3 linked regions of the Oryzias latipes genome follow. The protein of the gene in region 1 interacts with the protein of each later gene in a biochemical or structural test. Links are inferred from orthologs where the notes say so. Each region holds a gene or a part of one and is shown on either strand. Other genes may lie near its edges. The genes, in order: cyld, mib2 and ikbkg.

Region 1 (3,718 bases):
CAGAACAAAAACAGACACAAAGTCTCTTCTTCTCTGTGGTGTTGCAGGGAGCGGAGCTCCGGTCAGCGGCGAGCTTCAGCAGCACTAGAAAAGTTCAAATTCCTGTCAGAAGCTCTGCAGCTGTGGAGCAGAGCGCTCAGCCCAACCCTTCAGTCGTTTACAAATCGCCTTCACCGTTCTTCCTAAGTCAAGGTTCCTCAAGTGTTTGCGTAGATAAATAAAATTTGAAAGCTAACAAGCTTTTCCGATCAATTTCTTACTGTGGCAAACTGGAATAAAATGGAATCAAAATGTTCCGTTTTTATTTCATTTTCATTTTTTTTTATAAAACTTCTTTAAATATGTATTTGTAAATATATATGCCCAAAGGTCTCCCCCCCTTGTGCCTCTTCATTTGTCCTCAGTTGCTAACTGCTCATTGTGTCTCCATGAACATTCAGTAGTTGTTGTAGGACAACCTAAAGTTTAATACTCACTTAAATATACAGTGAAGGACAAGATATACCCAAGCCTAGCAGTATCACTGACCCTGTTTTTGTCACGTATTGAACTATTATTTCAGAGAAATCGGTGACATGACGAGAGCGCAATAAATAATATTTGAACGCAACTGTTTTGCTGTCAGACGCCAAGCTGTAAAAACTGTCACGCTGTGATAAAAGGCAGCGGAGGGTCGATACTTGCTTCTGTTGGGAATCAGTCCTGCCAGGACAGGCAGAGGAGGAAAAAAAAAAAGGCTTTGTAAACAAAAAAACATCATTTAGATTTTCTCATTAACAGAATGAGCACGACACTGCACTTCCTCACACTCTTACCTTTTAAAGAAACACGCTTTTTGCAGTTTTTCACCTCATTGACCCTACGAGCGCTCCGGAAACCAGCTTTACTACAGAAGCCGTTGTGCAAGTCTCTCGTCATGCTTTTTATCTGGTCTGCAGGAGCCGTGCAGGCCATTCATGACGGCTACAGCCGAGGGGCAGACATGACTGAGATGGACACTTACAGGTGGGGGGGGGGGGAACAAAAATGCTGATGTGAGACTTTTACAATGGCCAACACCCTATTCTGTAAAACACACACTGTAAGGACGTTTACACAGCGTGATGAAGGCGTAGAAGAACCGGTTCACAAAGAGCCCAGTGGTCTGGTTTAAATGCGACTGACTGCACAGCTAGTTGACGTCTATATTGTTGGTGTTACAGTCTGGAGCTATCTATGCTACTTAAAGAGATTTTACATAAATGTTCTATAACGGCACAAACACATGGAGGTTTGCACACAATGTCGCTTCCTTAATGTGCACCACGGAAACTCCCGTCCTGAAGAGTGATTAAGAATAACAGGTCTCCCTTTTTTCTTTAAGGTAAATGAGGTGAGCAAGGTCCTCCCACAAGCACATTTTATTTTGTTTTGTAGGCCGCTGCCGTGCAAAGTCTCCTCTGCTTGTGTCTCCTGCCTCCCCGTTCAGGGAGTGGATCCTCATAATGCCTACCCCTTTGTTTTGCTAACACCCAGCGATGCTCAGCTTCCAGACACAAGAAAGCTACATAGGACTACATAAAAGAAACAACACTTCAACTAATGCACAGTGCAAATAGGCATCTCCCGCTCCTTTCCATCTTCCCAGCCTTCAGAAACGAGAAGGCATGGAGGCGAGGTGAGGTTAGGAGGTTTTCGTGGACCGTGCCCCCGATAGCAGGCAGCTGTTCTATTAGTTTATCTTTCGCTTTTTGGTCTCTTTGAATCTGCTGGCCTGGGGGAGATGGAGGCTGAGTGGCAGGGGATGACAGGTAAAAAGGTTGAGGGAGCAGAGTTTTACTTGTACAGGCTCATGGTGGGGCTCTGGTACATGCACATGTAGGCGTCGCAGAGCAGGCGGCGCGCCTGGCCCTGGATACTCTTGGGGTCGAGAGTGTGCAGCTCTTCCGGAGACATTTTCAGGTAGGTCTCCACCTCGGGGCACGGAGACACCTGGGGGATGTTGAAACCGTTCTGGCCCCCTGCAAAGCCACAGGAAACGGTTAGAAGCAGCAAATTCAACATGGTATGAAATGATTATTTTTCATCCGACTCTAAATGCCTAAAGTGATTTTAAAAACAGCAAAACTACGACTGAGTATGGACAAATGTTTTCTCACAAATCCAGTTCTACTGGCTTATAATTGGAAGAAATTCTATACAAATAATTTTTTCTGAAACCCACCGTCGCGGTCAGCCATACTGTCGAAGAAGAGCCAGGCGGAATCTGCGGTGCCGTACTTGACGAAGGCCACGTAGTGACTGGTCTCGATGCATAGCACAGCGAACAGCTCCATCCTCTGGCGGGGAAAGCCGCCCTGACGCCCCGTACCTTCTTGCAGCTCCTTGGGGACGGACAGTTTGCCATGTCGATGGGCTTTCCTCTTTGGGTGGAGGTGAACCTAGACCAGCGGGATCAGATAAACTCCATTACACATAGAATGCGTTGCTGTGGTCGGGTAAGGGGAAATAAAAAGCATCTCAACGGGTTTTTATGGGGCATGCAGATGGGAATCGCAACTCTAATGCAATCACTGCTGTGAGATGTGTGTAATAGTGCAGTGAAAAAGCCATTTCCCTGAAACTCCTCATCACTGAGACTGCCATTTGTTTGGATTTGGCACCACCACATGGGGGAATACTGACACGAACATTCCCACTTCTGCTCTGGTGAGGGCGCCCTCTAGAGTTTACCTGTGTATTACACTTTTCACAGAACTGTTTAATCTTGCCGGCGGTGATGTCCCCGTCGTCATAACAGTCTCTGCACTCGTAGAACGCCAGGCCCCCGCAGATACGACATTCCCTCGGAGCTGTACGGCAAAAGCAAACCTTACCGGCTGAGAATTCCTGTCAAATGTCACGTCACAGCGACCGCTTTAAACTACAAGAGGAACTCACTGTCTTCAAGAAGATCCGTGATGTCCAACTCTAACGAAGGAAAAATCTTGTTGAACATTTTGAAGTCCTTGCCAAAGCGGGGCATCTGGATGATAAGGCAGGAGGGAGCCTTGGCGAGTTGGAAAAAGACAAAGCATCAGCTAATGAAGTCCTCACCACAACAGCACTGACATGTTCACACAGCTGCAAGCACAACCCAAAATCCGGATGCACTGCTTTTCTTCACGTGTTTCACCCATATGTAGTGTAAAAGAGATGAGCACCTCTGCAAACTTTAGGTCACTGTTGATGAAGGACCACTCTAAAAGCTGCTGGATGGTTGGAACTCCAACCTTGTCTTTCTTGTCCATGAAGATCTGGTAAAAGTAACAGTCCTGGACCTTCTGACCTGCTGATCTAGAAAGGTGATCAGATGAATCCGTTATTATCGTACTCCGTCTCCCACACTCCCACAATATTGACTCAAGATCAGAATTCTTCAAAACATTACACCGGAAAACGACAGTTAATCTTAATAATCAGAGAATTTTATTCAGCTGCTTCAGGTTTTTTCTTTTCTTTTTACCACAGAAGCTCCTCCCTCTTCTCACCTCAGTATTAAGCTTTTTTTATTACAGATTCTTTGAAAAATCTAAAGTATTTCTTAGTTGGTCTTGCTTCAGCTTAATTAAATTTGTAGTTACAATGTGATTGGTCCAAGTTCAACTGCTTTAACTTTCAACACGCATCCAATGACCAACTCTTTTCTTCGGACTTAAAAAAATTTTAAAAGCAGAAGCAGAAGCTCAAAACTCGCATT
Region 2 (4,167 bases), on another chromosome or scaffold:
ACATCTGTCTGACGGAGAACACTGACTCGTTTGTTGGCGGGATGACGGACGGCGGGAATGAGCCTCGTTTAATCCGGGGTGAGCGGGCCGTGAGCTGCATATGTGTTGTTTGGAAAACGCGTGGTCGATGTCCTCTGCCCGGGGGGGGGGGGCACCAAAGTGATCTCCAGCCCCCCTCACCGTGTCCTGATCCAGAAGAATTCTCACCGCCATGCAGAAATGTTGCAGCAGCATGGGGGGCACGCGGACCCCCCAGGGCTGGAGCCTGCAGGCAGAGCCCGCTGGCCTGTTTACACCAACGTCAGGACGCGGCGAGCTCGCCGTGGCGCGTCCTTCCTCTGCTGCATGGTGGTAATCCCTGCTGACACACCACAGAGGAACAAATGCTGCATCCTCTCGCTACAGGACGCCGCTCCGCTGTCAGTGTGCATCCAGCATCCCAACGCCTGTTTTCCCGGACCCCCCACCCCTGGGTTCACTGTTGGAGAGCAGCACAGAGGGGCTTCAGCTTTTCCCTCCTTCAGATCAGAAAGGTTTTTATTTTTAGCACAGCTTGAAGCTGCTGGAGAGCGTCTGAGTAGTGGAGAGGTTGGAGCTGCTTCCTCTGATTCATGTTGTGATCGGTTTCTGTGTTCATCTCCATAGCAACAGGTAAACCGCCCAATCAGACCAGCCGCTTTCCCACTCCCTGCAGCTGCAGGAAGCTGTTTGCATGCCTTTTAATATTTGTTAATTTTTCATCCTGTTTTAAAGAGACCTTTATGCGACCTCTTTAGAAAAGACTGCGGGGTCACCTCGCTCCTCGCTCAGAGGCGGCGCCTCCTCATCAAACATGCCGGTGAGCCCGTGTTGTGGTCAGGCGTGTTTGGCGTGTTTTATACTCTCTCATCTCTGGGACAGACATGGGGATCACATGACCGCGGGACTCGGCAGACTTCACTCTGAATCTTTTTCATGTTTGAGTCTTTGTGACACAAAACAACGCTAAGGATATAAATAAAGTTTTATTTGAAGAGTTTCTATAATTGAGCAACTATTGCTTTTGATGTGACGTTTGATGGAACCTTTTTGGAACCGGTACCACAGCGAAGAACTCATCACACCTTCCAGCTGTTGAGGTTCTGTTGCTAAGTTTGAGCGGTTCGATGAGAGAACATTTCCCACAATGCTCTTCTTCCTGATACGTTTGCCTGAAGCACAGTCCACTCAGAAGATTGGCTCTCTGCTTGTTTGTTTTTCCCTGGGGGGGGGGGGGGGGGGGGGGGGATAAAACCAGTTTGTTCCAAAGCTAAGCCCAAAGTTCACAGTTAACCAAATAGTGCATTTGGACTGGGGGAGGTCCACTTCCCTGCTGGGGGGCTTCAGGTTCTTTTGCCCCTGAACTGCAGAGATTAGCAGAAGTGAGCTGTGGGGACAAACAGGAAAAGAGCTGCTGGCATGTTCAAGAGTGGGCTGAGGACCATGGGGAGTGAGTACACGCATGTTCTTCTTCCCAGGAAGACCCGGCGCTGCTTTAGGGCAGAACCGGGTCTGGTTTAAGGGAGAACCGGGTCTGCTTAATGGCAGAACCAGTTCTATCCAAGAGCAGAACCGGGTCTGGTTTAGGACAGAACCGGGTCTGCTTTAAGGGAGAACCGGCACATTCCCAAATGATCCAGGAAACTTCCAGAAACCTCCACCCTCCTCTCAAGCTCCATCATCAGAGAGCAAACCATCTTTGAACGCGGTCCAGAAGAACCATGACGTTCTGTGGACCCGGGGGGGGGGGTGGGCACGCGTGCAGGAATCTGCATGTTTGATGAAGGTTTAGCAAGTCTTCATCATCCAGAGGAGTCTGCACCGACCTGCTGCAGAGATTTCATCTGTTTGGAGTAAAATAAAAGTTAAAATAACTTCAGAATATTCTGGAAAAAGTCTTCCTTAAAAAAGAGACAAGGACCAAAAAAACGGATCCAGACGGGATCCAGTTTCATCCTCTGAAGACCAAGAGCAGAAGAAGGAACGGTACCGCAGCAGCAAAAGCTGAGTCTTTTTCCTGAATCGTTGGTTTTCCACACTAAAGTTTAACAAAACTTTTGTTACGGGGACTGACTTTATTTTCTACCATTACAAGTTGGAATTGATGGGAAATTCTAGAACCCAATTAAAGCTGTTTATAATGGCCCCCCATGGTGTGTTCAGGTGAATGACCATTTACCTGACTGGTTACGGCGTAAAGCAGGGAGGTGTCCCGTCTCCTACATTATTTGCCATTTTTATTAACAGTTTGCTAGATGAAGTTAAAGGAGCAAATGTTGGTGTTGATGTGGGGGATTTAAAGAGTCTATACTGCTGTACGCTGATGACATAGTGCTTCTATCAGGAAAAGAAACAGATCTTCAGATTATGTTAAATCAGGTTTTTATGTGGTGGACTAAGATGAGAATGAAGATAAAATGTAAACAAACCCAAGTTATTTATTTCAGCAGTAAGTGTCATCTGCTAACACGTTTTTAAATTTTGTTTTGGTTTAGCAACTTTATCCTTAGTTAAAACCTATAAAATCCCTGGGACTTATTTCAGATGAACATCTTGCATGAAGGAATCAGTGTCAGAGTCAGCGGGACGAGCCTGAGGAGCTGTGGTAAATAAAACCACAAGCCACCCGTTTCTGCGGGCGGAGCGCCGTGATCCCGTCTGTTTGCCCTCTGCTGCAGACCGCCACGACCCAGCAGAGCGAGGGTCATCTCCTGCACAAAAACACAGAGCCATGTCCACTAGAGAGACCTGACCTGCATCACAGCTGCTGCTACAGCCACACCTGTTGTCTCTAATCCAACTGTGTCTAGTTAATATTTGAATGTGTCCAAATCTGCATGAATCTACCGGTAAATCTGTTTTTGCTCACAGACAGGAAATGCCTCGCTTTCCTGTTCCTCTCATGTTTCTGAAGCCTTTTCCTCGTCGGCTGGCTTTCAAACAGAACCGCGTTCAGAAATACGGCTTTTGAAAACGAGTCTCACAGAAACATCTGGGTGGAGGGCAGCACTGAGGACGTGCTGAGGACATGAGCGTGTTTCTGGGGGGTCGGGGCATGATCAGTGCAGCCGGGCAGAGCGGCCCACTCCAGCTGCTCTCCAGAAGTGTGCCGTGATGCTCGGCAGCCCTCCACCAGCAGGGAAAAAGGAATTCCACTGCGATCCCACGCCGCCAAACACTGATATTGCAGTTTGCCTGTTGGCCAGATGTGGGGGTGAATCCTGAGGGGTTCACGCGTTTGCTCATGGAAAGCGGGGCAGGGTATCAGAGGGTCCCGCCTTCTTTCTTCATCACTTTGTGGTCTTTATTCATCTTCAGCACCAGCAGCAGTGAGGGGGGGGGGTGTTCAGGGACTCATCTTCATGCTGATACACATCAGATGAACTCTGGGCTGATGATGAAACAGCTTTTTTCACCGCATGGCTCCAAACGTGTCTCCGCAGTAACCCCCGATCTGTTCCCGGAAACCACCCTGCTGCCGTCTCTGCCCGCCATTCCCTCGCCACGAACCAGCTCTGCGGCCCAGCAGCTGCGGCGGCGCAGAAGCAGCGTAGGGTACGCCGCCTCCAAGCCCCTCCCCCTGGGCTCGGCCTGCAGGAGAGGCCCCCATAGGGGCAGCATGGAGGTGGGCATGCGCGTTGTGCGTGGCCTGGACTGGAAGTGGGGTAACCAAGACGACGGGGAGGGGCACGTGGGCACGGTGGTGGAGATCGGTCGACAAGGCAGCACCACCACCCCGGATAAGACGGTGGTGGTCCAGTGGGATAGCGGCACACGGACCAATTACCGGACCGGGTACCAGGGCGCCTTTGACCTGCTGCTCTATGACAACGCTCAGATCGGTAAGCATCCTGACCGGAAGAGACGTGCTTCTGAATTCAAATGTCTTTTAAAGGGTTTGAAGTTCATTCTATGCTGCTGCACCACCCAGGCTCATGAAATGTACATCGTCAGTTTGTTCTGCAGAAAATATACTCGATGTTTCTCCTTGTGAACAGAAAGAGAAAGGGTTCAAAGGTCGTTGTGGTCTCTGAGTGATGGTGCAGCCCTGCAGATGTTTTCTGAGAACATGATGCTGCAGGCGTCAGCCGCCGTCCTTCGTGTCCTTCGGTTCCAAAAGTTACGGATTCATAAATTCAGTGGAGAAAA
Region 3 (4,094 bases), on another chromosome or scaffold:
ATAAAGCGCAGAAATCGAAGAAATCCAAGACAGAAGGAGAAAAGCTCGGGCTGCGGGAGCGGAGAGCATTTTTGTCACCTCCCTCACTTTAGCCGCTTACAGGAAGCTGCGGCCTGCTGACGTCACGAGCGTCTGCGGAAGAAGGAAAGGGGATCTTCCGGAATTTAGATTCCCTGCGCTTTACCTGACAGGCAACTTTTGACGCGGCCTAATTTTGGTGCCCAATTTTTTTTTAAAATTCCTCCAAGATGTAAACACTTCTTTATGGCTGTCTCTTCAGTTCAAACTGCTAATGTACGGTGTGCTGCTGCAAGCTAACATGTTAAATAATACAATATTGTATAAACAGATGCAAATTCTGATTATTTTGTTTTCAACATCAAATTTAACATTCTGTATACAGCACTTTTCCTACTAGAGTAACACAAAGTGCTTTTCTGACTTCAAACAATTAAAACTGAAATTATAAAACATAGAGTGCCCTCAACCCTCCCGACTGCCCACTCCCTATCTAGATGAATCCATTTAAATCCAGTTTTCCTAAAGAACTGAATCCTGTGGGAACATGAGCTGGATCCCCACATTGTTGTGTTTGTGTTACTCCCCATGTGTCATTAGCACACGGCTGGCTTTTGGTGCAGGTCAGAGGCGGCAGCTCATGTGAGAACAGAAAAACATTAGTATTGATTTTAAAAATTGGCTATTTTTACTAATTGGGGCTTTTTCAAAGTGCATACTATCAAATTATTGTCTCAGTCATGGGTCCAAAGCGCTCCAGGTTCAAGTTTTTAATCCCGTTGTCGATTCGTGGCAGACCCTCTTCATTTTATCTGTTCTGTTGTCTGGTTCCCTTCATTATTGAAGTTTTAGGATGTTTATTGCATTGATTTATTCAAGCAGTTTCTTTCATCAAGTGTCTGTTTCTTTGTGTGTGTCAACCAGTCATCCCTGATACTTGAACAAGTGTTGCAGTTTCTGCAATTTGCTTCTTCTTTGATTTTTCTGCTTTTTCTTTTTTTTTGGTATCATCACCCCCCCCCCCTAAACCTGACTTTGACTTTGCTGAGTTTGCAATGTTTTGTGATCCCACTCAACTTTCACTGTTTTATTATTTTTTTATATTTCACTGTAATATATTTGCAAGCTTTATCAATTAAAATAAAGTAGAAAATCTTATATTTATAAAACCTAATTCAGCAGGAAAACTTTACACACTTGTTCGTGCTTAAAATAAGATACTCAAACCGTTCCCCTTTCAGATCTACAAACCGGAGAACCGACACCTGAAAGGCAAAACTCAGGGTTAAAATATTCGAGGAATTTTCCGAGCTAACAACAGTCGCCTCGGCTCGGACGAAAACCCCGTAGCGAACGTGAAGCAAAGGAAGAAAAGGCCTCCTACATCCACACAGAATGTGCCTTTAAGGTTCGATAGTCTGCCAGCGTGAAGCTGTGTTTATGACAGCCGAGGAGCGAGGCCGCTTTCCCAGCCCTTCACTGCCGCATTAGCCTAGCTAGCTAAAAATTAGCCAAAATAGTGCTTCTGGACTCGTCGAGCTTCCTTCCTGGCGCAGGTTTGAGGGGGGGACTGTAAAAACTCTGGATGTGTGTTATTCTGGACAACAAAGGGAAAAAGAAGTTAAGGTAAGAGAGATCCTGTCCTTGTTTTGTTAAAATAAACTAGTATGTATGCGTCCAAACTGTTCAGAGACAGTCACGGATGTCCAAAAACCAAAAAAACATCAGTCTAGTTTGGAATTAGGTCGTTGATTTTATTTATTTTTTCTGTTAAAATCCAACTGCGTTCTCTTTACTTTCATTTTTAAAGCTATTTTAAACCCAATGTGTCTTTTATCCCGGCCTAAGGTGTGATGACGATGACGTAATGTTTTCCTTACCTGCAGTCATGTTCATGGATGACGTCCACATGTTTTTTTTTTTTTTTTTTTAGCAGAGAGGCTGAAGCCTTTAAGGAGCAGATCTGCTTCATATTTTCAACAAAAATGAGTAAAAGAATCAAAATGAAAGTGAAAGTCTGGTCCTGGTGCACATGTCAGGGCTCAAACCTGTTTCCACGCTTACGGACTGGATGTTGACTTTGACAGGTGTGTGATGATAATCCACTGTAATCCTGCAGGAATGGTCCAGCCGCAGCCCGACGGCCCCATGCAGTGGGACATGTCAGGGGAGGACAGTGGCGGGGCCCTCAGGGTCCCACCGGAGCTTGCTGGTCATGAGGTGGTGTCCAGATTACTGTGTGACAACCAGCAGCTCAGAGGTATCGCACCCACGGCTTCGCTCACACAACTTTTAACGAGGATTCTTCATCTGACCCTGTTTACGCTTTCTTTTCTTTTCAATTTCTCATCCATGACAGGAACATATTTTTTTTTTTTTTTAAAGTTAAATACATTTTAGGTCCGGCGGGGTGGAGCTCGCTTATAATCAGAGGCTGACTTCTTAAAACATTGTGGTATATATATTTTAGTTTCTGCTTTAGTTAACTCAGCTTTTTAACTGACATATTTTATACACGTAAAAGCAGAAAATAAGAGAAGCTTAATTCAAAACAAATCTATATGTGGTTTAACCATCTTTTACACTATTTTAGTTATTTACCATATTTGCCTGTTTTGTAAACGGAAAAAAATCAGAAAAACAGAAATAATTAATTATTTAGCTCCTTCATAGTTTGGACCTCTCCCTCTGGATCGGCTGCTCTTCAGCCACTGCGGCTCTGGATGGGAACCTGCATCACTGCTTAGCTGTGGTGGAGCGGTCCCCGCCTGTGATGCTGCATTTGGCTGGTTATGCGGCTGTTCACAGAAAGGGAGGTTCCAATTATTAGCGTTTCCAACATATTGTCTTCATACTTCTTTTTTATTATTATTTTTCTTTTTATGTTAATTGTTGTTTTATGTTATTTATTTTGTTTTGTTTTAATGTAAATCACTTTGTGTTATACTTTTATATGAAAAGTGCTTTATAATTAAAGTTTGATTGATTTATAGACCCACTCTGATGAAAATTAAAAATTTTTTTTTTTTTTTTTTTTTTTATCATCTTCTCAGATGTCTTAGAAAATTTAGCTTGCAGGGTATTTCTTTATTCAAATTGTTGTGAATCAGGAGTGTGTGGTGAAATGCTGTTTGACAAAGAGCTTATTTGTGATGTAGAAAATATGATTGGCGGGCCACAAACTTCCTGCTCCGCTCCATTCTGATGCATCCACTTGCAGACAAATAGATCCATGTGCGTCTTTGTTTTCCTCGTCTGAGCTGGAATCTGGATCTAAACTGGACGGATGGATAGCTCCAATATTTCTCAGCATTTTTGTCACTCCGGTAGTGTTAGGTTGGGGGTGTGAGGGGCTGTAAGCTAGCAGGAAAACGGGTAAACAGGTGAGTGACGGGAAGTTGGGGCAGGCTTACTCCACGTCAACAGTCCCGCCCACAACTCAGAGGTCAATTTTTGATGAATCGCTGCCACTCTGCAGGAATTATGTCCTTGAAAATGGCAGTCTTTTTAGATTATGGCTAAAAGTGGCCGCATTATATCAAAAAGACCACTGAGAACGTGTTTAAAAATAGATCAAAAGATGATCGGAGTGGGTCTTTAAAGGATATTTTTGGTTAAAATGGAGTGACGGATACTTCAAGCTGCCCTGAACGCACACAGGAAGTTGGTTTCATGTCTAGCAGATGTAAATACACATTCAGATGTGGTAAATGCTGTCTCTTCTATCTGTGAATAGTATCACAGCATAAGAACAGAGTCAGGGCAGCAAAGTTTGGATAAACTTCTGTGTGAGACCGAAAGACGAAAGTCGTACTTTATGTTTGCTCCTCCAGAGGCACTGCGGAGAAGCAACCAAGCTCTCCGCCTGCGCTGTGAAGAGATGGAGGGATGGCAGCAAAGAACCAGAGACGAGCGAGAGTTTTTGAGCTGTCGCTTCCAGGAGGCCAGGGCCCTCGTGGAGAGGCTGGCGCAGGAAAACCACTCGCTGAAGGTCACGGCGAACGGACCAGGCTCCTCCCCGTCTTCCGGTCTGTCCTGCAGCTCAAGTCAGACTGAAGACCTGCAGGGACGCCCGG

The links.
Region 2: of the proteins of cyld (region 1) and mib2, one has a biochemical effect on the other in vitro, tested with the Homo sapiens proteins (2 studies listed by BioGRID, with this or other methods). The link is inferred for Oryzias latipes from reciprocal best matches to the Homo sapiens genes CYLD and MIB2.
Region 3: the proteins of cyld (region 1) and ikbkg form a complex in vitro, tested with the Homo sapiens proteins (3 studies listed by BioGRID, with this or other methods). The link is inferred for Oryzias latipes from reciprocal best matches to the Homo sapiens genes CYLD and IKBKG.

The regions. Positions count from the first base shown.
Region 1 is NC_019861.2:30,212,898-30,216,615, forward strand, and holds part of cyld (ubiquitin carboxyl-terminal hydrolase CYLD), read right to left. Parts: intron 3,316-3,718; coding exon 3,183-3,315; intron 3,029-3,182; coding exon 2,920-3,028; intron 2,832-2,919; coding exon 2,713-2,831; intron 2,421-2,712; coding exon 2,204-2,420; intron 2,001-2,203; coding exon 1,816-2,000; 3' UTR 1-1,815. UniProt on the Homo sapiens protein: Deubiquitinase that specifically cleaves 'Lys-63'- and linear 'Met-1'-linked polyubiquitin chains and is involved in NF-kappa-B activation and TNF-alpha-induced necroptosis.
Region 2 is NC_019865.2:835,538-839,704, reverse strand, and holds the start of mib2 (E3 ubiquitin-protein ligase MIB2), read left to right. Parts: upstream 1-1,361; 5' UTR 1,362-1,437; coding exon 1,438-1,468; intron 1,469-3,461; coding exon 3,462-3,860; intron 3,861-4,167. UniProt on the Homo sapiens protein: E3 ubiquitin-protein ligase that mediates ubiquitination of Delta receptors, which act as ligands of Notch proteins.
Region 3 is NC_019865.2:4,851,536-4,855,629, reverse strand, and holds the start of ikbkg (NF-kappa-B essential modulator), read left to right. Parts: upstream 1-1,294; 5' UTR 1,295-1,644; intron 1,645-2,137; 5' UTR 2,138-2,139; coding exon 2,140-2,278; intron 2,279-3,851; coding exon 3,852-4,094. Other genes in the region: transmembrane emp24 domain-containing protein 4, read right to left, coding at 1-69. UniProt on the Homo sapiens protein: Regulatory subunit of the IKK core complex which phosphorylates inhibitors of NF-kappa-B thus leading to the dissociation of the inhibitor/NF-kappa-B complex and ultimately the degradation of the inhibitor.